4 linked regions of the Pelodiscus sinensis genome follow. The protein of the gene in region 1 interacts with the protein of each later gene in a biochemical or structural test. Links are inferred from orthologs where the notes say so. Each region holds a gene or a part of one and is shown in the gene's direction. Other genes may lie near its edges.

Region 1 (7,130 bases):
AACCTCCGTGGTCCGGCATGGTTTTAGTGAGCCGGATGTCCACTTACTGTGGATGTGGCCAAGTTTCCCACAGTCCCATAAAGTTTGTTTCCTGCCACCAATCCTGGCTCTCAGTGTCCTGTGCTGGTCTTTAGTTCTAATTGAGCCCAAAATGTCTTCTAAGAGCCCAGCAAGCAGAAGGGATGTCAAAATGTGTATAAGTCATCGTGATACCACAGAAAATTCCAGCAGTTACATGCAGGGTGGCGGTCAGCTTCCCGGGAGCCGGTGTGTGTGGGGAGCTAACTTTTAAGCCAGCTCTCCAGGCATACTAGCTCCCACCTGTCCTGCCATGCTGCTGCCTCTGATACAGATGCAGTGGGCGGAGGGGGGAGGCAGCTTCCTAGGAGCCAGATGCATGTGATTACACTTTCACATCCCTAGTAAGCAGGGGAAGTGTAGGTAATGCTGCTAGACAATACTGACCTCCCATAGTCCAGCAAATTCTCTGGTTTGGCACCGGTCAGGTCCTCCGGGTGCCGGACTAGAGAGGTTCAACCTGTATTACCGCTAAGCACTTTGCAAGAGCTGCTTGCGAGGGGAGGTAATTCTTTCCATGCGGTGTTAAGATGGTCATGGATGCAGGAATGTTTTCAGGCTTTTTTCCAGCTCCTCGAGAAAGATGGGAACCTTTCCCGCCCATCACAGCGCAGGCTGTACCAAACCTGTGTTCCCAACAATCCTCGTGGGCTGTAGAATCCTCCCCTGCAGGTGAGAGTTTACCAGGGCAGAAGAAAAGGGGCAGCCAGGGAACAGGTGAGCACTTGGGCCATTCCTAAATGCAAAGGAGGAAGGAATGGTCAGCCCTAATCTAGCAAGTTATTTAGGCAGATGCTTAACTTAAGCGAATGAAGTCAGTGGAGCCATGCAGATATGGATCGAGTTAGGCACATGAACAAGTAGTTTCCTGAATTGGGGCCTGACCCAAGTCCTCAATTCACAAGAAATTCTTCCTCCCTGTGCTACCTGCACCCAGCCTGGACCAGCAGCCAACAGTAAAGCGAGATCTGCAAGAAGGTACCTCGTGTTTTGGGCAAGGTCATCCCTGATGTAGAAACAAGGAAGGGGAGCGGCCTAGAAACAGGGCAGGTTCCTGCACGTGTACTCCTAGGAGACGTCCCGACCTGGGTTAAGATTACATACTGGCAGGTGTGTTTCAAAATCTGTGGCTCTGGTATTAGCCAGGTTGTTGGATGACAACACATCATCAAGCCCGAGGGAGGCTCAGGGAAGCCCTCATGTGACACAGCAAATGGAGGAGCCCCCACATTTTGAATACCCCACACAGATGTGGTTGCCTCATCTCAAAGAAAGATATATTGGAATTGGAGAAGCTTCAGAAAAGGGCAACAAAAATGATTGGGGCGTATGGAACGGCTTCCGTCTGAGGAGAGATTAATAAGATTGGGACTTTTCAGCTTGGAAAAGAGCTATCTAAGGGGGATATGACTGAGGTCTATAAAATTGTGACTGGTGTGGAGAAAGTAACTAAGGAAGTGTATTCACTCCTTCTTGTTACACAGGAACTAGGATTCACCAAATAAAATTAATAGGCAGCAAAACAAAGAAAAGAAAGTATTTCTTCACACAAGGCACAGTCAACCGGTGGAACTCCTTGCCACAGGATGTTGTGAAGGCCAAGACTACAAGAGGGTTCAAAATAGAGCTAGATACGTTCATGGAGGTTAGGTCCGTCAATGGCTATTAGCCAGGATGGGCAGGAATGGTGTCCCAAGTCTCTTTGTCAGAAGCTGAGAATAGGCGATAGGGGAGGGATCACGTGATGATTCCCTGTTCTGTTCATTCCCTCTGGGACACCTGGCCTTGGCCACTGCTGGAAATCAGGAGCCTGGGCTGGATGGACCTTTGGACAGACCCAGGGTGGCCGTTCTTATGACTCTCTCTGGCCTCCTTCCACATCACCCGATGGCTTTGTGCAAGCAGGCAGAGACCTGTTGTTTTGCATAGCTGCTGCTAATTACAGAGCAGCCAGGTCTGATGGCAAGCTGGCATACTGCCAGAGGTCTGATGCATTTCACAGCTTAAAATTCTCCCACAAAGACCAATGACGGGCTGATCCCTGGGCTTGGGAACTGAAACCAGCTGCCCTTGTTTCCTTTCGGCTGGCAACAGGTAACCTCGCCAAAGGCAGCGGCGGGTAATAATTTTTGAAGGGGGGGGGCACTTCACAAATTTCTGAAGTGGTTGTGGGTCATCCTGGAAGGGGCGGGGCCTCAGGTGGAAGGGGCGGGGCCAGACTTCCCAGGTTCCCCTGCCCACAGACCTTGATTGGCCTGGGAAGTCATCCCCCCCCTTTCCACTCGGTGCCTAGAGAAAACTGCCAGCTGAACAGCTGGTCGTTCACACTAGGTGCTGTGGGTGGAGGGAGACTTTGCATGCTCCCTCGCCCCCAGGCCAATCAGGGCTTAGGTGCATGGGAGCATGGGAAGTCTCTCGCCTCCTGCCCCCACCCTGCCAGGGGCACACGGTGCCTAGAGGGAACTGTTTTGGCCAGCTAGTGGTTCCCTCTGGGGCTGTGTGCGTCTGGCGGGGGAAGGAGATTTCACGTACTCCCCTGTCCCCGGGTTTCCATTGGCCTGGGAGCGGCAGGGCGGCTGCCGACCGGATCAACCAGCTTGGCGGGCTGGATCTGGCCCATGGAGGCTGGCTGGATCTGGCCCGCAGAGGCTGTCTTGCCCACCCCTGACCTCAGGCCATTACGCACCTACCGCAGGGCTGAGCAGAATGCGATTCGTTGCCACATTATTTCCTTGGAAAGTTACCACAAGATCTGAAGTGAGATAAGGGATCTGCATTGGCAGCCTTGAGCCAGAATACTAATGTAATGTATTCCTAGAGAGAAACTTCCCCCCCTCTAGGCATCGCTCTACCTTTCCCCTGCTACACCCCATCAGTGTGATATCCCAGGCCTCTTCCTGGGTGGTGTGGAGAGGGCCGATAAAGAAAAGTTATTTATTAGTTCCCTAAATAGAAGAACTAGAGGACACCAAATGAAGTTAATGGGGAGCAGGTTTAAAAGTAATAAAAAGAAAGTTCTTCACACAGCATGTAGTCAACCTGTGGAACTCCTTGCCAGAGAAGGCGGTGAAGGCTAGGACTATAATAGAGTTTAAAGAGAAGCTGGATAAATTCATGGAGGTTAGGTCCATAAAAGGCTATTAGCCAGGGGATAAAATGGTGTCCTTGGCCTCTGTTTGTCAGAGGCTGGAGAGGGATGGCAGAAGACAAATCGCTGATCATTGTCTTTGGTCCACCCTCTCTGGGGCACCTGGTGCTGGCCACTGTCAGCAGACAGGCTACTGCGCTAGATGGACCTTTGGTCTGACCCAGTACGGCCGTTCTTATGTTCCTCCAAGGTGATTGGGCGGTAACTGCCCTCAAATTAATAGATGTTTAGAGGACGTCAGCGTGCTATAAGGTCAGCTGTCCTACCTCAGTGACAAGACAAATAAATGAGCCGGGGCCAAGAGATCCTCTTAGTATCTGGCCAAAAGGATTTTTTTAAGGCCTGATTCAACCACCCCCACTAACGTCCATGGGGAATCACCCTACAAACCCATTATTTTATTTTCTTATTTACCACCAGTGTGAGGACTTGTGCTCCCATTCTTTGCACTGGGAACTCACTGCGCTGTGCTTGCCCGTATGTTCGATTTCCTCCCTGGGCGTGCATTTGGGCGTCCCGCTTGGACTGGTTTAACCGGTTCTGGATGGCACATCTATGCCTGGCAAAGGGCTGCAAGGAACCATCCCCCACAAAGTGGCTTTCAAAGACGCAGTGACCAGCCGGGCCCTGGCCATATCTTGCCTCCATGTTACACGCCCTGGGGTGAGACCTTCCTAGATGTCCTACACAATGCGTGTGTGTGTGGGGGGGAAGGAAGGGGGAATAGCACCAATGCCAGCTGCATGTGCTGGGCTGTGGCTGGGTTATGTTGTTCGGGGGCGAGTGTATAATCAGGAGACACACACCCATTCCCGCAGCAGCCAGCTCTGGAAGGTTCCGGGTTGCATTCGGGGGAGGGGCAATGGCCACAGCTGGCCTCCAAGCTCTTCCCCCGGCTGCAATGTCACGGAGAGCCGCGCGGAGGAGGCGCTGCAGCCCCAGTAGCGGCGGCGGGCACGGGCCGGAGCAGGCAGGCAGGCAGCGGCGGGGCTGCAGCGAGGGGGTGCGCCGCGGCGCAGAGCGCACGGGGGGAGTTTGGCGCAGCGCAGGGCGCACAGGACGCAGGATGGCCCCGCTTGGCGGCGGCAGCAGCAGCAGCCCGGCTCCTGTCTCTACGCTGCGCTGCGCGTAAGGGGCCCGGCTCTCCAGGCGCCCCGGGAGAAGCGCAGGCAGGGGGCGCGCCCGGCAGCTGCCGCCACTTGTTGATCCAGCCGGGACCCCGCTGCCCGGCGCCTCCGGCCGCTGCGCGCCGGGCACCCAGGTTCCCCGAGGGGCGCTCGCCCCGGCAGGGCCCCAGCCATGGCCAAGGACCAGCTGAAGCCCCGGCTGTGCCACATGCTCAAGGGGGAGAGCGGCTACGGCTTCCACCTGCACGGCGAGAAGGGCAAGAGCGGCCAGTTCATCCGCAAAGTGGAGCCCGGCTCCCCGGCCGAGGCGGCGGCGCTGCGCGCTGGGGACCGGGTGGTGGAGGTGAACGGGGTCAACGTGGAGAAGGAGACGCACCACCAGGTGGGCAGGGCTGCCGGGGGGGCCGGGCGGGGGGGCCCGGGGAGGGTCGGTCAGTCTGTACTGGGGCAGGAGGGGGTGTGCTGGGGACCGTCTGTCTGTCTGTACGTGGGCGATGGGGCATAAGGCGCCGGGGGACGGTTTGTCTGTCTGTACTGGGGTGGAGGTGTGTGCGCCCGGGAATGTCTGTCTGTCCGTCCATGAGCGCTGGGGAGTAGGGTGCCAGGGGCCGGTTTGTCTGTCTGCCTGTGTTGGAGCTGGGGGGCCCGGGGGCTGTCTGTCTGCACTGGGGAGTTGCCCGGGGAATGTCTGTCTGTCTGTGGGCACTGGGGCAGCGGGCGCCCAGGAACAGTCAGCCCATGCTAGTGGAGAGGTGGCACCCTGGAACCGTCGTCCGTCTGTCTGTGCTGGGACAGAAGGTGTCCTTAGTCTGTCTATCTGTGCCCAGTTGAGCGCTGGAGAAGGGGGCTGTCTGGATGGAAGGTCAGTCTGATAAGGATGTAATAGTGCAGTCGATTAACTGATTAACCAATAAGCAAAAGCTTCTAGGTCAATGCTATCGACTACCCGCATTCTCCCCTCCACCCCCACCAGTACAGTTTTTAGCAGGCTGGCCAGCAGCCTGGCTCATGCCAGGTCCGGGACCTACCCCCGCTGCAGCTCTGCATTTAAAGTGTAGTAGGAGCCAGGTGGACAGGCAGCCCGGCTCAGTTCCAGCTCGTGCCGGGTCTGGGAGCTCAGCCCTCCCTCTGGACAGGGTGCTCCCCTCGTGGACCAGCCTCATAAACTGGCTCCCCTCACGGACAAGCCCCTGTCTGGCATGTGACGGGGGGGCTCCTTGGGAGTGGGGCTGGAGCGTGCTGGCTGCCAGCCCCATCCCCAAGGACTATAGAATAACGGAGTAACCGATAAGAATTCATGAGTTGAATTGACTGTTAAATTAACCGGCATTTAACATCCCTACAGTCTGACTCTAGAGCTAGAAGAAGTCCCGCCAGGTGACAGTCCATCCTGGGGTGGGCAGTCCGGTTGTTGGCTAGCGGGTTTCATCTGGAGGTTGAGAGCAGGGAAACCAGAGTGACATGGAAAACCTTGTCATCTGCTGTGTCCGTGTCTCCTGCCAGTGGAAAGAGGTGCCCTCGGCTTGGGTCATTCACTTGTTTCCTCTAATTCCTGGGCTTCACATGCTCCCTGCTGTGCTTGTGCCCACTTCTTTGGTTTTATATTCCGAGAGGTGAGAGTCAGGAAAGTCCTAGCAAGTCGCATCAAGCCCAGCCTGGCCAGGGCAGGATGCTCTCTACAGTGTATTTCCTATTGCTGTGTCCAGGCTGGCAAGAAGCCCTTTTTGTTCATCCATAAAACCCCACGTTCTGTAGAGCCCCCCCGCCAGCCGCTCCCCATTGGGCCACCGTGTGCTATTTTCCTTCCGGGGATCTGTCCGCGTTCAGTTTGGTCGCCAAAGCTGCGTGCACTCACAATCCGACTGAGTCGCTTCCCCTGAGCTGCTTCTCTGCTGGATTCTCCAGGCGCGTGTCCAAGTGAAACCAGCGTGATGGAAAGTGTGCGTCTCTTTTTGGGTGATGGTTCCTGAACCTCCAGGCCAGCAGGGTAATCCGCTGGGAGACAAGCAGTTTATGGGGAATAAGATCCTTGTTGGGGCAGGAACCAGCACGCTAAGCCTGCTGAGTCGCTTCTTGTGTCCGCACATGGAGTGCTTTTTCAGCTTGTTGGCTGTAGCCGAGCAGAACTATTTACGTATGCCCGAAACAGCCTTCATTTGCCCTGCTGCCAGGATTCCCGGCTCCTCTGGTGGTGTTGGTGGCGAGAGCGTACGAAAGGTGAAAGAGAGCTAGCAGGGTGATCCTCTCTGTGAATGTTTGTTTAAAAGCTTCCCTTTGGCAAGGAAGCAGCGGTAGATACTACAGGTTCCCGCACTATAAATAGGTTCCCGCACTATTCCAGGCCTTCCCCATGCAGGGATGTTGTCTTACCATGCTGCGGCACCAGATAACTTTCAACAATGACAGTGGTTGGCCTTGTCTGCATTGGCCAGGTAGGAAAGACCAAAGGATGCGATGACATTGGCAGGACGTTGCTGTTACGTAGTCAGCCATTGCGTTGTCAGGGCACACGTTCCAGCAGAAAGTAGCTTCTGAGGACAGGGCAAGAAGCAGTGGGCTTAAATTGCAGCAAGGAAGATTTAGGTTGGACACTAAAAGCTTCCTGAGTGTCAGGGTGGTGAAGCACTGGAATAAATTGCTCAGGGAGGCCGTGGAATCTCCATCACTGGAGATTTTTAAGAGCGTTAGACAGAAACCTGTCTAGATAACACTCCAGCCTTGAGTGCAGGGGACTGGACTAGATGTCCACTTGAGGTCCCTTCCATTCTTAGGATTCT
Region 2 (7,883 bases), on another chromosome or scaffold:
CTATCCCAGAGGACACTACTGCCAACCTGATAGCAGACCTATGTAACTTTGTTCTCACCCACAATTATTTCCAGTTTGAGAACAACTTATACCTCCAGATCAGCGGCACAGCCATGGGTACACGCATGGCCCCACAGTATGCTAACATCTTTATGGCTGACCTAGAACAACGTTTCCTCAACTCCCGTCCCCTTTCACCCCTCCTCTACCTACGGTACATCGATGACATCTTTATGATCTGGACACATGGCCAAGAAACACTGGAGATATTCCACAGAGATTTCAACAACCTACACCCCACCATCAACCTCAGCCTGGACCATTCTACACGAGAGATCCACTTCCTGGACACCACCGTACAAATCAACAATGGAAAATTAGACACCACTCTCTACAGAAAACCCACCGACTCATACAGTTACCTACATGCATCCAGCTCCCATCCAGAACACACCACACGATCCATCGTCTATAGCCAAGCCCTTCGATACAACCGCATCTGCTCTAACCCCACTGACAGAGACCAGAAGCTTCAGGATCTCTACCAAGCATTTATAAATCTCAACTACCCACCCAGAGAAATAAAAAAGCAAATTGAAAGAGCCAGACGAATACCTAGAAACCATCTACTTCAAGACAGACCCAAGAAAACCAACAATAGAACACCACTTGTCATCACCTACAACCCCCAACTAAAACCTGTCCAACACATTATCAATAAACTACAGCCTATATTGGAACAGGATACCATACTCAAAGAGGCTCTGGGAGACAGACCCATAGTCTCATATAGACAACCACCTAACCTCAAGATGATTCTTACCAACCACCACAGGACATACCACACTAATACCAACCCTGGTACCTTCCCTTGCAACAAAACCCGTTGCCAGCTTTGTCCACATATTCATTCTGCTGATACCATTATTGGACCTAACCAAGTAAGTTATAAGATCAAGAACACATATTCCTGCGCATCCAGAAATATAATCTATGCTATCATGTGCCGAAAGTGTCCGTCTGCTATGTACATTGGACAAACATCTCAGACACTTCGCCAAAGGATTAATGCCCACAAAACAGATATCAGACAAGATCACAAAGAGAAAACAGTTTCTTGCCACTTTAACCAGAAAGGACACTCTCTAAATGACTTAGCCACCTGCATTCTGCTACAAAGACCTCTTACATCTGCACTTGAAAGGGAATCCTCTGAACTGTCATTCATGTTAAAATTCGACACTTATCACCAAGGACTTAACAAGACTTTGAACTTTCTCACCCATTACCAAGACAGTTTCCCCAATTATCACCTGTAATACCATTAACTCACAAACATCCCACTCTCCCTACCTTTAATATCAGCAATTCACAGACACTTACCTTCCTTCCTCCCCCTTCCCACCCCCCCGCATCCCCCTTCTGTTCTGCAATGTGATTTGTCCTTTTCATATTTGTTCATTTTTTTTAATTGTATCCTTTGGTATATATGGTTGTGACTACTTTCTTCCACTATTTGATCTGAGGAAGTGGGTCTGGCCCACGAAAGCTCATCATCTAATAAACCATCTTGTTAGTCTTTAAAGTGCTACATTGTCCTGCATTTTGCTTCAACTACCCCAGACTAACACGGCTACATTTCTATCACTATTCTACATGCAAGGCACTACATTTAGCCGTTTGGAATGGAAATCCATCAACCATATGAAGAAACTCGCACAGATACAGACAGACATCATCTTTCTATCCAAGTGCAAGAAAATGGACATCGTACCCAAAGGACTGAAAGTGAACAATCCACTAAGATCAACATACTTCACTGACTACAGTGAAAGACTCTGCCTCACACTATCCAAGAAATTAAGAAACCACCTGATAAGTATTTTATACAAGAAACAGAAAACCATCAAGAATGACATTTCTAACTTAGATCGTCTCATCTCAAGACAAACATCCACACCGACTGACACCTTGCAAGACTTTTGTTCCACCAGACAAGAAATCTACTATACACACTTCTATTCCCTACAACAAAGAAAAGACAATAAATTTTCTAACCTGCTCCATACCACTGGCTACAACAGCAACTGCCTCAACCCACCGGATAATATTGTTAACCTCTCCAGCTACAAACTCAATCCAGCAGAAGAGTCTGTCTTGTCCCGGGGTCTCTCTTTCTGCCCCACATCCCCCACAAACTGGATACAATTTTGTGGTGACCTTGAGGCTTTTTTTCGCCGCCTCCGTCTCCGAGAATATTTCCAAACCACCACTGAACATCAATCTGACCTACCAGATCCCCCCTACCAACACCAAAGGAAAAATAATTCTATATGGACTCCCCCTGACGGTCGGAATTACAATCTGGATTTCTATATACACAGCTTCCGCAACAACGCACAGACTGACATTATTCGCAAACGACAACAAGCGACACACAATCTTAGCCGCGCTGAACACCATGCCATCCAGAGTCTCAAAAACAACCTGGACATTGTAATCAAACCAGCTGACAAAGGGGGTGCTGTGGTCATTATGAATAAGGCCGACTATTACCAGGAGGCAACCAGACAACTCTCGAACACCACATTTTACAAACCTCTCCCCTCTGACCCCACCTTGGACTACCAAAAGAAACTACACTGTCTCCTTAAAAGCCTCCCCACAGCTACTCGGGAACAAATCCTCACAGAATCACCTTCTGACCCCCGACCAGGATTGTTCTATCTACTTCCCAAGATCCATAAACCTGGGCACCCCGGACGTCCCATCATCTCTGGTATTGGCACGCTCACTACTGGTCTATCCAGCTATGTAGACACTCTTCTCAAACCCTTCGTAACCAATACCCCCAGCTATCTCCGAGACACTACTGACTTCCTAAGGAAACTACAAAACATCGATAACCTCCCCAATAATACCATCCTTGCCACCATGGATGTAGAAGCTCTATATACCAACATCCCACATGAAGACGGATTACAAGCAATTAGAAACACTATCCCAGAGGACACTACTGCCAACCTGATAGCAGACCTATGTAACTTTGTTCTCACCCACAATTATTTCCAGTTTGAGAACAACTTATACCTCCAGATCAGCGGCACAGCCATGGGTACACGCATGGCCCCACAGTATGCTAACATCTTTATGGCTGACCTAGAACAACGTTTCCTCAACTCCCGTCCCCTTTCACCCCTCCTCTACCTACGGTACATCGATGACATCTTTATGATCTGGACACATGGCCAAGAAACACTGGAGATATTCCACAGAGATTTCAACAACCTACACCCCACCATCAACCTCAGCCTGGACCATTCTACACGAGAGATCCACTTCCTGGACACCACCGTACAAATCAACAATGGAAAATTAGACACCACTCTCTACAGAAAACCCACCGACTCATACAGTTACCTACATGCATCCAGCTCCCATCCAGAACACACCACACGATCCATCGTCTATAGCCAAGCCCTTCGATACAACCGCATCTGCTCTAACCCCACTGACAGAGACCAGAAGCTTCAGGATCTCTACCAAGCATTTATAAATCTCAACTACCCACCCAGAGAAATAAAAAAGCAAATTGAAAGAGCCAGACGAATACCTAGAAACCATCTACTTCAAGACAGACCCAAGAAAACCAACAATAGAACACCACTTGTCATCACCTACAACCCCCAACTAAAACCTGTCCAACACATTATCAATAAACTACAGCCTATATTGGAACAGGATACCATACTCAAAGAGGCTCTGGGAGACAGACCCATAGTCTCATATAGACAACCACCTAACCTCAAGATGATTCTTACCAACCACCACAGGACATACCACACTAATACCAACCCTGGTACCTTCCCTTGCAACAAAACCCGTTGCCAGCTTTGTCCACATATTCATTCTGCTGATACCATTATTGGACCTAACCAAGTAAGTTATAAGATCAAGAACACATATTCCTGCGCATCCAGAAATATAATCTATGCTATCATGTGCCGAAAGTGTCCGTCTGCTATGTACATTGGACAAACATCTCAGACACTTCGCCAAAGGATTAATGCCCACAAAACAGATATCAGACAAGATCACAAAGAGAAAACAGTTTCTTGCCACTTTAACCAGAAAGGACACTCTCTAAATGACTTAGCCACCTGCATTCTGCTACAAAGACCTTTTACATCTGCACTTGAAAGGGAATCCTCTGAACTGTCATTCATGTTAAAATTCGACACTTATCACCAAGGACTTAACAAGACTTTGAACTTTCTCACCCATTACCAAGACAGTTTCCCCAATTATCACCTGTAATACCATTAACTCACAAACATCCCACTCTCCCTACCTTTAATATCAGCAATTCACAGACACTTACCTTCCTTCCTCCCCCTTCCCACCCCCCCGCATCCCCCTTCTGTTCTGCAATGTGATTTGTCCTTTTCATATTTGTTCATTTTTTTTAATTGTATCCTTTGGTATATATGGTTGTGACTACTTTCTTCCACTATTTGATCTGAGGAAGTGGGTCTGGCCCACGAAAGCTCATCATCTAATAAACCATCTTGTTAGTCTTTAAAGTGCTACATTGTCCTTCTTATCTCATGGGCATTTCCCGCTGCGGTGTGACAGTTGTGAGCGCAGAGCACAGACCTGCAGCACTCTCATTCGCCACGGGAAGGGACTGGCCGTGTTTTCCCACCCCCCCCCCCCCTTGTTCCCGAGCAGGCGCCCCAAATACTTCAGTCGCTTCCCGGTGCCTGCGGAAGGCAGGGCGGCGCTGCTGGGAGGGAGCGCGGGGAGGGGCGCCGAGGTGAAGTTGCTTGGCACATGCTGCTTTGGTTGCAATCGCTGGGAGCGCGGCGCGCTGGCTCGCCTGGCTCCGACTGCCCAGCCCAGTACGCACAGTGCGAGCCCTGCCGGGCGCGCTGGGGAGGGGATCCAGCAAAGGTTATCTGAGGGGTGACCCCCAAAGGGCTTCACGATGTAATCATAAAAAAGAACAGGCAAGGGGAGGTGAAAACAACCCAAGCCCGGGCGGGATCTACCGGCAGCCCGGCCTGCGTGCGCTGCGCCCCAGCGCGCCTCTGGGGCCCAGCCGGTTCTGCCCCTAGACGGGGGGGGGGGATCCCCTGAAAGCGAAGCCAAGCCCCCTCCCCGGCAGGCTGTGTGCAGGGGGGAGGAGGCTGCGAGGACAGAGATTGGCCCGTGGGGAGCGATCCGCCCCGTGCTCTTGGGAGGGCTCGGTGATGCCCCAGAGCGGGGGCTGCCCGGCCTCTTGCATCCCCTGCTCCCCCCGCTGCCCAGCCCCAGCCGTGCCCGCTTGTGCTCGGCGCTGCCCGGGGAGTGGCTGGGCGCAGAGTCCCGGCGCGACGGGGACCCCGGCCCGCGCCGCTTCCTCCTGTCGGGCTCAGCCGCCTGCAGCCTCCGCGGGCGCGGCGCGGGAGAGAGCAGCGTAGCCCCGCCTCTGCCGGCCCGGGAACAGCCCCATAAAGGCAGCTGCCGGCGGGCAGCGGGACGGAGCCGCAGCATCTGCCCGTGCGCAGCGCGTGTCCAGAGCCCTGCCGGCTTGCAGAGGGGAGGCGGCAGCCGGCCCGGGGCGGGGGGATCACAGAGCGCCTGGCCCGGCCAGCCGAGGGTGCGCGGTGCAGATGAGCTGGGAGATGGGACAGGTGCCCCTGGCCGAGGGGCTTCTGGCTCTTCCCACAGTCCTGGCCCAGGAGAAGAGCTCGGGAGAGCATACAGCTGGCAGCGGACCCCACTCCTTTCAGATCGTCTCTTTCAAATGGCATCATGTGCAGGAGCCTTATATCATTGCTCTCTGGATATTGGTGGCCAGTCTGGCCAAAATCGGTGAGTCCGGAGCTCTGCGGACATCTGCGCTCTCTGAGCTCCCCAATTTAAGTAACAGAGGCTCGTTATCGCCTGCATTGGTCCCTTTTCAATACACAGGGGGTGCTGTGTGTCTATTTGCTTTGCCACCTTGCTTTCTGAACAGGGTCATCCACAGCGTTCAGCAGTGGGGTTTGGGCTAGACCAGGGGATTACTAGGTCATTCTCAGCAGCTAGGACCATAGCGTTTGTATCTGATGGTTGGTTCATGAACGCAGTCTTCTTCCATTGGTCCCGGGATAACTAAGCCAAGTAGGAAATAGGAAATCGAATTTGGTTATCTATAAAATGACAACCCTACCTTAGGGTATATCTTCCACCTCCGATAACTGGCAACGATGTTATATAACGAACTTTACATAAATATTGCAAACCTGGGTATTTGGAGTGCTAGTAACTTCTGCTCTTGGACTTCAGTGTTGTATTACCTGGAGGAGAATGCAAAAGTGCAGCTCTTTAACCTATGTGGAATATGGGTCAGTTTGTATGTTTTGGTTAATTACAAGCTATTGTTTTCTGATCCATGTGACTTTTCTAAAAGTGTAACCTCTTGTCCATATTATTATCACTAATGCCTAAGTGATTTTAAGTATGTTTGCTGGTGAATGACTGGTTAGCTGAAACTTATTTAGTACCTTAGTTCTGTTTGTCCAAAATTCCTCAAAATAGATCTCCAAGTTGTGCTGTAATCTTAAATATCTTACAGTGATGATTCATGTCCCAAACCACACTGAATGTAAGGGCCATTGGCTAGTTGAAGGCCCATTGCATTTTACAGATAAATTTCCTTGTGTGAAGGTGCAAACTGCATTCAAATCCAAACAAAACTGTTTCCATTAATTTTTTTTTAAATGAATGCAGGATATGAATGCCAGTTTCAGTGTCACTTTTTAATACAGACCTAAGTTGGGAGCTTCATCTACCTGACAGTGTGTATGTAAACTGAAGAGCTCTGTGAGAATAAAGTTATGAAACATATCAAGAAAATGTGTCTGGATGGTGTAATTGCCCAAAGAACAAGATACCTACATTATCTATAAAATGTAAAAGTTTTGATCTAGTTGACTTTTATTGACAAGCTGTGTCAATTTGAAGAGACATAAAACTGCACAGTGACTGTTATTCAGGAGTCTTAAGTACTTTTTGACTCTGGAGAAACAAAATCAGTGATGGGAGAAAGGGGTGTAAGCAAAAGAGGAACTACACTGGCTGCAGATAAATTCAGAAATTATAGAAATGCACTCATTGCCAGTTTGAGCCTCTTTTTTGGTGAGGAGGGTGTACTCAACTAGTAACATATTTTAGGGTTGTTGAAGTTATGATCTGGTTTCTGTGTATATGTACCACTGCTCTCTACTGAATGGAATCAGTGCTGTACAACTCTATCTTCTAAATCTAAGCTCTATTCCTCTAATAGCTAGTGAGGATTCTCCTTTAGCATAGTGGTAAAAGCACTTTTGTTACACTCTCATTTTCAGGCAGAGGCAAACAATTCAGGATCTGCATCGGGCTCTCTTTTTAAAAAAATTTTTGGAGCTCTCTTCACTGCTACACTGATTCAGGCTCATTGCTGGTGTCCAGTGATCCCAGATGTTTCCCTTGCCTCTCTGCCCGAATTTGTAACTGTTTCACTTGAGGTGGTCTCTGAAGAGGCTCTGAACAACAACTGTGTACTATAAAGCACTAGTAGCATATCTAGTGCAGGTTTGGCTGCTACCAACAGCCGCCAATCAGATGAGTGAAATGCGGAAGTGACCACTGCTGATTGGTGCAGACAGACTCAAGGTGTCTGTTCTGGCTCAGAAGGGAGTCGAATAAAAAGGATTAGTTTTTGTTTGTTTGTTTTCAGAGACAGGGTGAGTGAGGTAATATCTTTCATTGGCCCAATTGTTGCTGATGAGCTCTTCTTGAGGTCTGGGAAAGGCACTCAGAGTGTGACACCTGAATACAAGTTGGAACAGATTATTTTAGAGTAAGTAGTTAGCACC
Region 3 (7,499 bases), on another chromosome or scaffold:
AGCCTGGAAATTTACATAGCAATAAAACAGCTCTACAGCCTGGGCCCTGGGAGCCCATGTCAGCTGGCATGGGCCAGCCATGAATTTTTCTTTGCAGTGCAGACATACCCTAAGGCTCAAAAACCAGAATGGAAAGGAAAGGTACAGTTATTATAAGAAACAAAATCTCTTGATTCCTAAACCAATCTTGAGATTTTGTAAGGCCCAGGGTCCGGATTTTTGATTGCTTGGGTTTGGGAAAGATGTGCAAATTATATAAAAAAAAACAATAATTCCTCTCCCATAGGTTTTTGTGCATATTCCTACATAAAAGTCAAGACTTTTATTATGGAAATGTTTTAAAATAGGTGTAGGAATTAGATTAGAAAGATCTTTTAAAAACAAGGAAAGGATTAATTGTGTGGGAAACTAAATATAGGGACCTGTCTGTCATGTATTATTGCACCTATCACTATGCCATCTGAGCAGTCGGGAGAGGCAATCTGTTCATTTTACTTCTCTCTGGGTTATTTTCCCTTGGGATAAAGCCAAAATTGAAGAGACAATGGAAAGTTCAGTGCATGACAGCTCTCTAAGCCTTCAATGACTCCTCAGTGAAAACGATCCACTAAATAAGGAGTAACAAAGCAAAAATGTGATCTTTTCCTGCGGCCTTCAGGGGCACAGCTTCCCAGTTTGAAAGGCTGCCACGTATGGATGACCACAGGGGAAGGATGGCAGCAGTTCTTAAAAAGCAACCCCCTTCCCCCCGCCCCTTGGTGCTGGTTGTTCTTCTTCCACGGAAGAAAGCACGATCGCCACCTACGGGACACGTGCCAAAGGCGCAGCGGATGCAATTGTGCGGAAGAACACCCAGCCAGACGCCTGCGGCTCTGCGCACAGACATGTGCCTATTGTGTGCGCAGGGGGAGCGGAAAAGACACCTCAGTGTGCTGCAACCGGGCGGCAGAGAAGGGGAGCCCGATATATCTCTGTCTGTTTCCTGTTCGGAAGTAGTTCGATGCCAGGATTGGACAGGGGGCGCCTGTTCCACCCGGTCGCTATCCGGTGGGCAGGGCACACCCGTCTCCAGAACCCCTCTGTCCTTTTACACCGTAAGCGCAGGAGCCCATCTGTCTCAGAGAGAGGATGGAAGTGAAGGGCGGGGGAGGGGAGAGGGAAAACCACCCACCCAAAGCAGCCTGGCCCCTGTTCCTTTTCCGTCCCGACAGCTACCACGGCGGCGACTCCTCGTCTTTACGCTTTGACAGGGAGCCAACCAGGCCAAGTGCGGAGGGCAGAGCAGCCCCTCGGGCCTGCGGCCTGTGTGTGCTGCGGGAGGGCTCTCCATGCGCTCTGTGCAGCAGCTCAATTCCAGCAGACCCGCATTTCAGTTGCAGACGCAGGCACTGGTGTGTAATAAAGTGGTGATTACAGTAACTCCCAGGGCTATGTTGCAACGGGGCAGAGTGTGCCTGGCGTGACCAATGTTGAACTCCACTGATCTGTATGTAAATCACCTTGTATATGGGGTGCATAAAGCGGGCAGCAAGCCGACTCAGCCGCTACTTTCTTTACTCACCACTTCCCTCCAGCTCTGGCCGGCCACGGAGAGGGTGTTATTCGGGTTTATAGCGATACATAACCCAGCCAGGGCGTCAGAGCCCCGTTTCAAAACTACTGTGTAGGATTTTTAAGAGGGAGCGAGAGAGATGAGAGGCAAAGAAGAGAAGCCTTCATTAAAAGGTTGGTTTATTTTGCAATTGTTACAGTCTCGCTCTGGCTTGTTTGAGGCTCTGAGAAACCCTTAGTGGTAACGATGCGGAATGACCCTCCTGATTGGAGAGCGGAGGAGGCTGAGCACTTGACATTTGATAGGGACTTTAATTACCTTTTCTCCAAAAGAGGAAGGAGACCTGCAAACCGGTGGGGAAAGGGGGGCAACAGTCACTGAACCGAGGCTGCAGTTCCAGCTTTGTTGTTCTTTAGCAGGACTGGCGGGGGGAGGTGTCTGGAGCAGGGGCGTTTGGTACCTGCCGGGGAGAAGGGCAGGGAGTTGGAACAATTTTGATAATGGGGTTCCTGAGAGCTTTTCAACCCAACTGGAGACTCTGTATATAATGCAAACCAAGCCAGGAGATGTTGCAACACACACACACACTCCTAGTTCCAGCACCTATACGGTACGGGGGTGCCCCCAGAGGGACAGAGAGGGGGCACCCCATTTAGCAATTAACATTGTGGCAGGGTCATAGAAGGGTGGTGCGCCTCCCGAGCGGTGTGGAGAGTCTGCAGGGCAACAGGCTTTCACAGAGCCATGGTGACAGCGGGGTGTTGCAAGCGAGCGGCTGCTGCAGCCAAGCGGGAACAGGGGGAAGGCGCAAGCGAGCTGCGCTGCAGCCAGCGCCGGGTTGACAAGACCCTGGCCGAGCACTGCGTGTCACAGGAAACGAGGGGATCGCAGCTTGTGTGGGCGCTGTAGGGGTGGGGAGCGAGCACAGGGAAAGGGCTGCTGAGAAGAGGGCGCTGCGTAATGCAGCAATGGCATGTGGCGGGAGGGGGACATTTCTGCAGCACAGAGCCCAGGGCCGGTGGCAGCCTGCAGAGCTTGGTGGGGGCGCGTAGCCTCGGCTCCGGCACGCGAGTTGGGTGCTAAGCGGTTCTTGCGCGGGAGCACGCAGGGAGCGGGGCGAGCTGGCCAGCTCCCCCGGCGCGTTTAGCAGACGATTGGAATTGGCGTCGGTGCCTTGCTCGGATCAGACAAGCCGATTTTGCACCCCGTACAGACAAAGCAACAAGTGGAAGAAAGCAGAGGATCGGAACAGCTGCCCCAAACTAACTGCGCCTTGGCGTGCCGGTTTCCTCTCGCTCCTTTGCACGCTAGGAGACTCTGTGTAAGGTTCCCGGATCTCAGCCACGTGAGGCAGTGGAGCCGGCCGGCCGGCAGCAGCCCCTTCAGTCTCTGCCTTAAACTTACCAGCAGTGTGTTGTCTTTGAACTACTTTCCGCGTATGCATGGCGCAATTTCCCACCCCAGGCCATTACCATTACCTGTGCACACTCTCTTTAAACCGAATTGCAGTCTGAGAGCAGCAGTGAACTGCATCTCTCTCCCCCTGTGCTGGGGTGCTCTCTTTTGGGGAGTACAAGTTAGAGACATGAGCTGTAGGGGCATGCCGGCCAAGGGGGATGTGGAGTGAGGCAAGATGCACAAAGGAGGGCAGCAAAATTCATGGCCACGTTGCAGCTCAACTCTACGCGGTATAGCGGGTAGGGACACATCACAAGTTAGGAGACTTCTTCGAAGTTGCAGTGAGTGAAGTGAATAGGAATGTGGCCGCCGCAGCTAACGCTGAAACCCAGCCCTCGTTCCAACACATGCTCCCCCCCTTGTAGACTGTTGCCCTCCCAGGGGCACCCACTAACCTTCGTGCCACCCTCACCCCAGCCGTCCCCCGGCAGAGCCTTTATTCATAAACAAACCCACGTGCTGCCCAGGGCCACTGCAAGGCAACAAGTAATGACGCCCAGGCTGTTCGCAAAGGTGGTTGAAATCTCAGCTGGGGGGTTGTTCTTTTGCAAACACAAACTAGATGGGTACTTCCATGAGCTCTACACCCCCTGACCCCCCTCCCTCTCCTTCCTCCTCTGGCAAGTCCTAGGTGCTGCTTTTTTGGCTCGTCGGCCCAAAGCATTCAAAAAGCGTTTTCTGTAACGTCCCGGCCGGGATCCGGGCAATGCACACCAGGGCATTTGTTCTACTGAAAGCTGGGCAGGAAAACTTGTTCTCCTGAGTCATTGCGGCTCCTTCAAGGAAACGTCGGAGTTTCTTATCGCCTTTCGCCCCAGGAGGCAGCTGAAGCTGCTGCTGACGCTGGAGAACCAAGGCTCTGGGGGTCATTTTAGAAAGACATTCCCCTCCGCACAAGAGCAAAGCAAGCCCTTACACAATCCCCTTCTCCAGGGAAAACCAGGGCAGGCTGCAGGAGTTGGCTGCGCCGGGGAAAGCGAGTTTCTGCTTAGGCTGGGTAAGAAGCTCCGATCCTTTTTCCTTTCAATGTGGTGGTGTAACTTGGGTTGGGACGGGGGGGTTAGTGACCTGAGCGGTGCATCCATGTGGCTCTCTCTCCCCCTTAACCGGATTGTGACCCGAGCGCCACAGAATGACACCAGCTGACTGATCTCCAGCCACCGAGGCAAAGGTCCCCCTTTGAAGTTGTTTGCTTGGAGCGATGAGGTGCCAACATTTGCAAGCGGCTAACAGGGATGATCCTTAGTTAATGAACATTTCTTTGCCTCCCCCTGTGGAAATGCATTGGGCTCAGTGCAATACACGTGAGCCACAGGCATCAGCTGACCCCACCAACGGTTCCCTTCTGAATTTTTTGAAGAGAGGGGGGAGAAAGGGCCAGGCAGGGGGCGTCACATTTTCTCCCTCGAGAGCTCCTCTCTCACTGCCAGAGAGCTAGCTAGCGTGCATGCTTGGGGGGGGGGGGGGTGTCACAGAAAAGGGGGAGCAAAACCGTTTTGCAAGGGTATCCCTCCCGAAACTGACTTGCAGGCTTGCAACAAGTCAAAGCCTCATGGGAAGGGAAGCAAAATGCAGGAGAAACGGGACAGGGCAGCTGTCGAGTCTAGCCAAGCGCGGTGCATGCTCTTTATGCCTGTGCGGAGTGGGTTGGAAGTGGGCCCCGGCCCTCTGCGGCTGAGCTCAGCGGTTCCTCGTATTGCAACGCACCGCCTAGCCATGCCGCCGCCGCGTCCTAAGCCCTGCTGCAGAGCGCTCTCCTTCCTGCCGGCAGGCTACTTCCCCGGCTCTTGCGAACGTCAGAGCCAGGCAGGGCGGGGCCGCGCCAAGGAGCGGGCGCCAGCGGGAGGAGGCAAAGCAGTTCTGGGCGCCTGGCTAGCCGGACTTACTCTTCCGCATAGTTGTTCCTCGTTGGTCCCTCCCTCCCTCTCCTCTCCTCCCCGCCCTCCCTCAGGCGAGGTCTCTATATAAACCGCTCCAGCGAGCTGGTGTTTAGCATAATCGCACTGATAGCCGGCTGCAGCCAGAGCCGCTTGCGTTCCCCTGGACTAACTCATTCATCAGCCTGGATTATTGCTCCCTGACCCACACTGTAGCTCAGCTATGACTGTCAAAGCCGAAGCATCTGGACCCACATTAACGTATTCCAAGATGAGGGGAGTTGTTGCCATACTCATCGGTGAGTTTGAAGAAGAAAGGCAGAGTGACCATGGCTCTTTGGGGGGCTACGGATATTTTGGATGGACTCATGTCCGATTCACTTAAAAAAACCAACAACCCACGTTTTGGATGTCCTGTCGTAACGCTTTTCTTTTTATTTGCAGCTTTCATGAAACAGAGACGAATGGGGCTAAATGACTTCATTCAAAAAATAGCCACCAACTCCTACCCGTGCAAGCAGTAAGTAGCGCAATTTTATGTGTATCGATCTGAAAATCGAGCCTTACATTTTTATGATTGAAATATTTAGGTATTAGGTTATTAATGATTGTCAGAACTGAATTAATTTTTTCACAATATTATTAGTTATATAACACACTTTACTGAGTTTGTTAGCATATATTTAAGTTTTTACTGAGTTTAGTTAGCATAAATAAAACCAGAGAGCACAGGTTAGTTTGATACCCATCCTATCCATGACATTTAACTACAGAACAAGCAAGTGTTTAACTACAGAACAAGAAACTGCACAGTTAGTTCTTTTTTTTTTCCTGTTTCATTTTAGTTCTGAAATGTAATAGACTGTCCCTAGTTGCCTGCCAAACTGAAACTTAATAAGTAGACTGCTTGCATGCCCTCTAGAGGTGACATGTTACTGCCTGTTGTACAGGGCAACTGTTCTAATAATGTACTCTCTAATCTTTTCCAGCCCTGAAGTTCAGTCTATTTTGAAGATCTCCCAGCCTGAAGAGCCTGAACTTATGAATGCTAATCCTTCCCCTCCAGTAAGTAGTCTTCATTATGTGAATCATTTCCACTAATAGAAACATGTTTTAAAATAGCTATTCTGTAAATTAGCAACTTGACAAGAATGTCCCTTTTAGTTCAGCTCACAGGGCAGTGATGTAACTTCAAAAAGGAGTTACCAGTTTAGAATAAAATTCATACCTATTTTGTATGGAAAAAGTCAATGATTTAAAGAAGGCTATATTACATGTCTTTTAAGTAGGGAAATCCCTAATCTTACTTAAAATTTTAATTTGAGGTTGTACAAGAATCTCATGCTAATTTTGGTGAAAGGGGACATAGATTTGGTTTAATATAACCAAGTAAAATGATCTCTAAATCCATGAATAGATTCGTATAATAACCCTTTGTGGTCCATTTCAAATAAACATCTTTTAAGCGTCATTTGTTTGTTTTTAATTATAGCCCAGCCCTTCACAGCAAATTAATCTTGGCCCGTCATCCAACCCACACGCCAAGCCATCAGACTTTCATTTCTTAAAGGTTATTGGAAAAGGAAGTTTTGGGAAGGTAAGTCCTACTTCTTTCCACCTTAATTTGGTGATGCACTTGTTTAAGGGCTGAGGTTATATAGCCAGCTTGCTTTAGTGGGAAAATCTCTGTTCTCCAATGATTCACTGATACTTCACAGCTTTGAGGAGGAAGTTGCTTGCCCTGCAGTGGATAGGTGGGGCAAGGTGTTTTAGTTAAGGAGAAGGAGTTGCAAGGAAAACTCACTGGGATTGATCTTTTATGCAGGAGAGGTAGTAGGGTAGGTCCTGGAAACCAGGAGAATCAGCCTTTTTAAAAAGCCTCTCTGCTGGCATTTTGTTGATAATGCTAGGCATTGCTATCAAAATGCTTCGAAATGCAGCTGGTAATATACAGTGGTAATAGTGCTCAGCGGTAGCATAGACGATATCCAAAACCCTTTCTCCCAGCTGTGTTTATATGCTGCTCTGTATTCCAGTACATTTAAGTAATGGGATTTTCAACTGCTTTCAGGTTCTCCTTGCAAGGCATAAAGCAGAAGAAGAATTCTATGCTGTTAAAGTACTGCAGAAGAAAGCAATCCTGAAAAAGAAGGAGGTAAGTATCTCCTTTTTCACAATATAGCAATGCAAATTACCAAGTTTAGTTTATTACTACAAGTTAGCAAGCTTTTTGTAACTAAATATTGGTTTTTTTTCTATTTTTAGGAGAAACACATAATGTCAGAGCGCAATGTCCTGCTGAAAAACGTGAAACACCCTTTCCTGGTTGGGCTCCACTTTTCTTTCCAGACTGCAGATAAATTGTACTTTGTCCTTGACTACATCAATGGTGGAGAGGTAAGCAGCAAGCGAATGAAATAATTCCTAATATGTGCACAGTGGTTTTGTAGATCTGTCTTCTTTTTAAATTAAAAACAAAGTTCCAAGGGGAAAAGTTATTAGAGTTAGCATCTTCAGCCTGCCAGGTTTCAAATGCTAGAGGATCATTAGGCCATTTCCTGCTATTGTTCTTCTTAGCTATATATGTCAAGTCTAATTAAATGCATTGTTAA
Region 4 (7,290 bases), on another chromosome or scaffold:
CACGGGCACAGAACCAGCAAGCTAGGGCTGCAGACCACAGACATCCCTACTCTGCCTGACTCTTCCTCTGTAACCTGGAGAAGTCACATAGGCCCCGATCTTCCAAGGTATTTAGGCTCCTGTGGATTTCCAAGGGGATTAGGAGCCAACAGTCTTTTGTGGCACTGATCCTCATGGGTAAAAAGGGGCTAAGAGTCCTGCATGATTCCAGGCTCTCCTTTAGGATGTGTCTAAAACCCCATGAGTGTATTTTGGATTTGACTGGGGATCAGGGTCCCGCTGTGATTGGTGCAACACACACACACACACACACACACACACACACACACACACTCCTTGCCCCAGAGATCTTAGGCCAGATCCTTCAAGGGAGACAAGCGCCTTCGTCCCATTGTGATGATTCCCTGTTGTGAGACTTCGGTGCCTAAATACCTTAGAACGTTGGTGTCCAACCAGTTTTGAAGCCACTACACTGGAGGCTTCTATAGCCAACTAGCCACAATCCACCGGCCTAAGAGCCACACGTGGCTAGTGGCTAGCATGTTAGACACCATGGCTTTAGAGGATCCCCACCTTACAGGCCTAGAGCCCGTCCCAAAAGTGTCAGAGCAGGAGGATCTTTATTTGTTTTCACTCCCCCGAACCAGGTCTACCACCAGGGGCACTAAGCAAGTGATCAGTATAACAAGTCCGGTGGCCCCCTGGCCAGGGACGTTCAGTGCCAAGGGGTAAGCACCTGTGACATAGATCCTGTGCTATGCTACTGGAAGGGAGGGGCAAAATCTGGCTTTAATAATCCAGCCACAACAAACATGCACAATGTGGGGTTTCCCTGCCTAACAAACACACCCGAGAGTAAAAAGTCCCAAGCACAGAGCTGTTGCAAGGCTAGGAGAACAGACAAAAGGAAGTTTTTCTTCATGCAGCGCAAAGTCAACCTGTGGAACTCCTTGCCAGAGGATGTTCTGAAGACTAGGACTTTAACAGAGTTCAAAAAAGAGCTAGATAGATTCATGGAGGTTAGGTCCATCAATGGCTATTAGCCAGGATGGGTAGGAATGGTGTCCCCAGCCTCTGTTTGTCTGGAAATGGAGGACAGGAGACGGATCACTTGATGATTCCCTGTTTCTGTTCACTCCCTCTGGGGCACCTGGTATTGGCCACTGTCAGCAGACAGGACACTGGGCTAGATGGACCTTTGGTCTGACCCAGTCTGGCCGTTCTTATGTTCTTATGTAAGCGACTGCCTAGGAAGGAGCACTGCTGAAAGGGATCTAGGGGTCAGAGTGGACCACAAGCTAAATAAGAGTCAACAGTGTGACACTGTTGTAAAAAAAAGTCAACATGATTCCGGGATGCATCCGCAGGAGGGCCGTGAGCAGGACACCAGAAGTCATTTTTTCAGTTGCCCCTGGAAGGGGCGGAGTCTTGGGGGGAAGGGGCGGGGCCTCCCCTGGCAGCCCTGAGTGCTGCCCGGAGCACACCGCACGGCACTCCGGTGGCGATTTAAAGGGCCCAGGACTCCGACGGCTGGAAGCTCCAGGCCCCTTTTGAATCGCTGGCCCTGCAGTTGCCCGCTTCCCCCCTCCCCATCACTCCCTTGTGAGGCCTGAGCACAGAATTTCAGCTCCTGGCTGATACACTGAGCCCAGTAGCTTGTGTCAAGCTAAAGCACAACTTCTAGAAAAGCACCTCATTCGATTCAAGAACACGGAGAGATGGGGAATCCATTGCTTCCCTGGGGCTTTTATTCCATAGGAAGGGCCATGCCGGGTCAGGCCAAATAGCCCATCTAGTCCCCAAGTCCGTCTTCCAACAGAGCCAGATGCCTCAGAGAGAGCAAACAGAACGAGGACAAATTATTGAGCAATCCATCCCTTGCTTCTGAGAGTCAGGGCTCCATGGCTGTTCCCCCGCGCTGTTGAAAACCTGCCCTATTTCTGATCTCGCCACATTTCAAGACAGAGGCGGAGAAATTGGAGCAGGTCCAGAGAAGAGCAACAAAAATGATTCAAGGTCCTAAAAAGCATGAGCTAAGAGGGAAGGCTGAAGGAACTGGGCTTGTTTCGTTTGGAAAAGAGAAGACTGAGAAGGGATATGATCGTGCTTTTCAAGAATCTAAAACAGTGTCACAAGGAGGAGGGAAAAGAATTGCTCTGCTGGACCTCTGAGGGCAGGACAAGAAGCAATGGGCTTAAATTGCAGCAAGGGAGGTTTAGGTTGGACATTAGGAAAAATTTCCTGTCCTGGTGAAGCACTGGAATAAATTGCCTAGGGGGGTTGTGGATTCTCCATCACTAGAGATATTTAAGAGTAGATTGGATAGATATTTTTCAGGGATGATACAGGCCAGTGTTTCTCAACCAGTGGTACAAGTACCCTTTGGGGTACTCGAGAGAAGTCCAGGGGGTACATCAACACAACTGAAAGTTGGAGAAAGCTGAATTTTTAAGTTTTACAGCGTTTTATTCTTTGTGTACTTTTTACACCCCAAAATTTCATCGCCTGCCTGGCTACGATTAAGTTGTTTAAACAAATGTGCTGCAATGGTAGAAAAAAAAATGGTGTGTCTGAAAACTGTAGGTACTGGGGGTACTTATAATTTTTGTTTTTGAAAAAGGGGTACTTTATAAAAAAAGATTGAGAAACACTGAACTAGATCAAAGGGTATTCCGCCCAAATGGAACCCCAGGGAAACTGGAAATAAGGGTTCTGCGAGAAAATTCCATTACAAGAACATTTTACGATTAAACCACATTTAATATTTAAGCATTTATGAATTGTATTGAAAACAATTTCCATGTGTGTTTGCCACGATCAGTGTCCCTGCGTAACGCCCACTTAGCCCGAGAGCGGGGATGATGTCATGACTCAGCACCGTGCTCGCAGTCAATCAGCCTGTGAGATACCCCCGTAAATCCCCGTACTCACTCTCCGGGAGCGTGGGTCACGTGGGTGACTGAATTACGAATACACGAGCGCCGCGTCGGACAAAGTCGAAGCTTCGGCTGCCAAGCCGCTTGCTCGTACGGGAGCGCGTAGGCAGTGCGCTGGCGAATACTTTACTTCAGCACAGTGGCGTGATTTCTTGTCCTTAAACATTTTTCAGCTCCATAGATAGGGTGCAGCAAAATTCTGGTTCTGTGGCCAAATAAAATTGGGGAACACTGGTCTAGGTGGTGCTTGGTCCTGCCGGGAGGGCAGGGGACTGGACTCACTGACCTCTCCAGATCCCTTCCAGTTCTAGTGTTCTATGATTGTATGATTCATTCCAGGAATGGAGGGATAGCACAGCCTGGGGAGGCGGGAGGGGCACTTTGCGCACGAGCTGGGGCAAAAGCCAGTGGGGGGTAGAGGGAGGACCCAGGGCCGCATTGTGACTTCGTGGGTCCTAGGCACTTTTTCCTTCGTGGGCCCCTTCCTCCATAATATCAATATTAAAAATTATTTTTGATACAACTTTAAATACTTCAACCTTTTTTTCTGTTTTAGGTAAAATTTAATAGATTTTCGTGGGCCCTAAAAGTTTCATTTTTTTCTGATGGGAGAAAAAAAATGAAAACGTTTTCTTCGACCCTAAAAGTTCTTTTTTTTTTCCCCTTCTGATTTGCAAAGAAATTCAAACATTTTCGTGGGCCCCTAAAAGTATCCTGGGCCCTAGGCACTGTGCCTACTGGATAAGTCGGCCCTGAGGACCCGTGTGAAGCGCCTTTTGCCGCTGGCTTTCCAAGCGCCCAGGGAGTTGGGTCTTTCTCTCCTCCCCGCTTAGGAGATGGCTTCTGGGCCAGCTCTGGGAGCCCTCTCCAGGCCTCGCCCAAAGCTCACAACTGGGAAAACATCAACACCCAATCCGCTTCAAACTACCTCCCCGCCCCGGCTTTCCCAGCCAACCCCGCCCCTCTCCTCCGAGTCCACCCCCTTTGCGCGCCTGCCCCGTGCCAGAGTTTTGCAAAACACCAGCGATCTGGGGGGGGGGGATTCTCCTAGATGATCTGATTCTCCAGCCAGATTTACCCCCCCCCCCCCAGGATTTCAGCCCTGGAAGCTCTGCCTAAGCAGGAGCCTCGGGGTTCCCATGCGCACCCGAAGGCACCGCAGGACGCACGGCGCGCTCCTGGCCAGGCTGCGAGGGGGTGGGGTGGGGGGCGTGGGGGGGTGTGGACAGCCAACCCTGCGCTTCCCAGGCTGAGGGTCACATGGTGCCGATTCCCAGCCAATGAGGTTCTGCCCATGCGGGGTTTTTCTACCTGCCTCTGTGCTCCAAAACCGCAGACATTCCCGGAGATCCACTCCGGCCGGCAGCGAGGGAGCGGATCAAGAGCAGGATTATTCCTCCGGCTCGCTCACAGGAAGCCCCGCTCTGCCTTTGCAGGGAAAGAGACCCTTTTTCATACCAGCCGCTGAAGGCTCTCATTCACAGCCAAGGGGAGCTGTAAAAAAAAAAAAAAAATAGGGCAAAGCAACCGTAGAGACTTTTTTTCCACCCCTCGCCAAAAATAAAAAGAAGCGCACCGCGAAAATGCGATGCGCTCCCCCCCTCCGGCTCGCCAAGAGCTAGCTAGCTATTTTCTCGCGGCTCCCCCCTCGCAACCATCACAGCCGCTAACAGAAACCTGCTGCAAAAGCCAAACAAACAAACAAAAAATAAAATACACCATTTGATCCTCCGAGTTGCAAGAAAATAAATGCGCCCATCCAGCTAGAAATAACCCCCGGGGCGTTCGTTCCTTATTCTTTCACGCACCCCGCAAAAAAAAAAAAAAAAAAAAAAAAAAAAAAACTAGGACTGGAGGGTTGTGCTCTGTCTTCACTCCCCCCAAAAAACTCAAGGCTTTTTCTAAGAGAAGAGACGGAGCCTTTTCTTGCCGCTTTATGAATGAAACTGACTGACTGCGCGGAGTAACGTTCCTGCCTTGAAACTAACAAGCTGGTAAATTTCAGGGGGTGGGTGTTGGGGTTGGGGGTGCATGGAGGGGTGGGGTTTTCAGTACAGAATAAAAGGAAGTTCTCATCTTTGGATTGTGTGTGTGTGTGTCTGTGTGTGTTTTGAAGCGGCAGGGTCCATGTGTTTTGATGTCAACAATAGACGAAAAAAATCTCAGGGGTTTGTAACTTAAAAAAAAAATAAACAAAGAAAACCCCATAAGGAATAGTGCTGGATCAACTTAGAGACTCACCAAGAATATAGCTAGTAGCATGAGCTTTCTTGGGAACAACCCACTTCTTCAGATAGAAGGAAAAGGAGTCTGGAGGTTGGTTGATTTTCCCCCAAATGAAAAATGCCCCGCTTGCTTCTCTTTTCATCTCCTCTGGTCGGTGGGGAAGTAAACCCACACTCCGCATGTTCATTTGGTGAGTCTAAAAGGGAACTGCAGCAGTCAGAGGGAGAGAGAGAAAAAAAAATCCCCCAGCAACTTTTACTGGACTGAGCTTTGGTGATTTGATTCCGGAGGACAGGACAAGCAGCTTGTGTGTGTGTATGTGTGTGTGTGTTTGTACAAATGGAAACCCGTCGATTTTGGAAAATGTCAGCTAGTCAGTGAAAAGAGTTTTTACTGCAGCATCTAAAATAAACTATTTAAGAAAAAAAACCCCAGCTCTTTAGCTCAGGCTTCCAGCCTCTACTCAATTGGCTTTTTGAAACTGCAGAGCCTTTGAGAGAGAGAGAGAGAGAGAGAGAGAGGCAAAAAATACATTTAAAAAATAGTATTTGTAACTAAAACACACGGCATCCAGGGAAGGTTGTCAGAATAAACCTCTTGGGGAGCAGAGCTGCACTGGAATACACAAGCCAAAATACCCAGCACCTCTCCTGTTTGCATAAATGTACTTGCCCAGTGAAAATATTTCTAGCTTAAAAAAAAAGCCCTGACTTTCTGATTTGTTTACTTGCCTAAAAAAAGTTTAAAAAACCCTCCCCCCAGCCTAAAAGATAAAATTACTAGCTCTAAAAATAAAGCAGTGGTTAAAAACTTCCCCCTCCCCTCCCCACCTCTATGTGTGAGTGTGTGTGTGTGTTTGCGTTTGACAAAGAAATTATTTGAACTTCCCACTGCCTCATAAAAAGGAAGCAGAATAGCAGTTTTGACATATGGATGTGATTTCTCTGCTCCGAGACAGATGCACACACAAAACAAACAGCACCAGGAACTGCTACGCTGCCTGAGACGGGTGTTTGGGGCTCCCTTCACATGGACGCTTTCCCCACATTGCTGAAACTGCCTGGATTTCCAGCCATGAGGAAGCGAAGCACTGGGGCTTCTTGTCATGTGCCTCTCTGGCTAAAACGGTGGAAACAAACAAGCAAATAAAAAAACCTGGGAAGGAAAAAAAAAAAGAAAGAAAACCTCATCTACAACTGGACCCCTGGAAGATCCTTCGCCCTCAGTCTACTTCCCCTGGAGATTGTGGATGGGCGATACCTCTCTTGGCTATGGGATCATATCTGGTTTATCACAACCTGGGCTTGATCCTCTGCTGCTCCGTCTTGAGTTCTGTCTATGCTCTGGTAAGTTGCTAAATTTTTCTCCTGCACATTCTTGAGCAATTGTTTCCTTTAGCTGTGCCTGTTTCCTGGATGAGTAATTGACTGTACCAGGATTTAGAAGCGGGCAAAGCGCTGGCTTTTTTAGACGCATGTTTGATTTTTGCTGGCGGAGCTAGAGCTGGCGGGGGGAGCCGGAAAGCTGCTAGGCGAGATGCAATGAAAATGACTGAGCGTTCGGGAGAATTCTTCTTACCCACTTCCAAATGACTTCGGCCGGCTCTCGGACACAATTCTGTGATCAGCCCCTCTCTCCTATGAATGGAGACAAAGCGTGGGGCCCGCTGTTCCGGATGATAATGGGAATCTTAATTTAATCATGGGAAAGCTGAATTTCAGCAAACAACTGCTTTCCGCTCCATGAGTGTCTGTGTACAGTAGCGTACTGGATCTGCTTTGCAGTCCAGCAGCGCATGGATGGCATATGGTTTACACTCAGGGGAATTAGAGTAGTATTAGCCCTATGCCATCGAAGGCTGTGTGCCATCTGTGTGTGAACCAGTGTGATTTTGTACGGCACGACTGCTATTGTAGGAAGAGTTCATCTCTATTTAGCCAACTGCCTTCCCGAGGGGAACAAAACTGTGACTCAAGGTGGTACAACCAAAGGTGACTCGCTCCGCTTAGTCTTATGGACGAGGCTAAATGTCGTCAAGTCTCCGAGGAGTTGCCGGGATAGTCCTTAACTTTCAAAACCACACGCAGCCCTGGGGCACCTTAGAGGCCGACACTATATAGCACCACGC

What was found.
Region 2: the proteins of NHERF2 (region 1) and SLC9A3 form a complex in vitro, tested with the Homo sapiens proteins (2 studies listed by BioGRID and IntAct, with this or other methods). The link is inferred for Pelodiscus sinensis from reciprocal best matches to the Homo sapiens genes NHERF2 and SLC9A3.
Region 3: the proteins of NHERF2 (region 1) and SGK1 form a complex in vitro, tested with the Homo sapiens proteins (2 studies listed by BioGRID, with this or other methods). The link is inferred for Pelodiscus sinensis from reciprocal best matches to the Homo sapiens genes NHERF2 and SGK1.
Region 4: the proteins of NHERF2 (region 1) and PTH1R interact in a test that uses a peptide from one of them, tested with the Homo sapiens proteins (2 studies listed by BioGRID and IntAct, with this or other methods). The link is inferred for Pelodiscus sinensis from reciprocal best matches to the Homo sapiens genes NHERF2 and PTH1R.

Annotation. Positions count from the first base shown.
Region 1 is NC_134726.1:37,832,922-37,840,051, forward strand, and holds the start of NHERF2 (Na(+)/H(+) exchange regulatory cofactor NHE-RF2), read left to right. Parts: upstream 1-4,127; 5' UTR 4,128-4,525; coding exon 4,526-4,735; intron 4,736-7,130.
Region 2 is NC_134712.1:145,368,336-145,376,218, reverse strand, and holds the start of SLC9A3 (sodium/hydrogen exchanger 3), read left to right. Parts: upstream 1-4,865; 5' UTR 4,866-5,654; coding exon 5,655-5,856; intron 5,857-7,883. UniProt on the Homo sapiens protein: Plasma membrane Na(+)/H(+) antiporter. Exchanges intracellular H(+) ions for extracellular Na(+) in 1:1 stoichiometry, playing a key role in salt and fluid absorption and pH homeostasis.
Region 3 is NC_134713.1:95,699,761-95,707,259, reverse strand, and holds the start of SGK1 (serine/threonine-protein kinase Sgk1), read left to right. Parts: upstream 1-4,479; 5' UTR 4,480-5,110; coding exon 5,111-5,186; intron 5,187-5,331; coding exon 5,332-5,407; intron 5,408-5,876; coding exon 5,877-5,952; intron 5,953-6,379; coding exon 6,380-6,484; intron 6,485-6,958; coding exon 6,959-7,042; intron 7,043-7,152; coding exon 7,153-7,284; intron 7,285-7,499. UniProt on the Homo sapiens protein: Serine/threonine-protein kinase which is involved in the regulation of a wide variety of ion channels, membrane transporters, cellular enzymes, transcription factors, neuronal excitability, cell growth, proliferation, survival, migration and apoptosis.
Region 4 is NC_134712.1:254,793,651-254,800,940, forward strand, and holds the start of PTH1R (parathyroid hormone/parathyroid hormone-related peptide receptor), read left to right. Parts: upstream 1-4,277; 5' UTR 4,278-4,930; intron 4,931-6,116; 5' UTR 6,117-6,411; coding exon of another isoform or gene 6,412-6,433; coding exon 6,434-6,508; intron 6,509-7,290.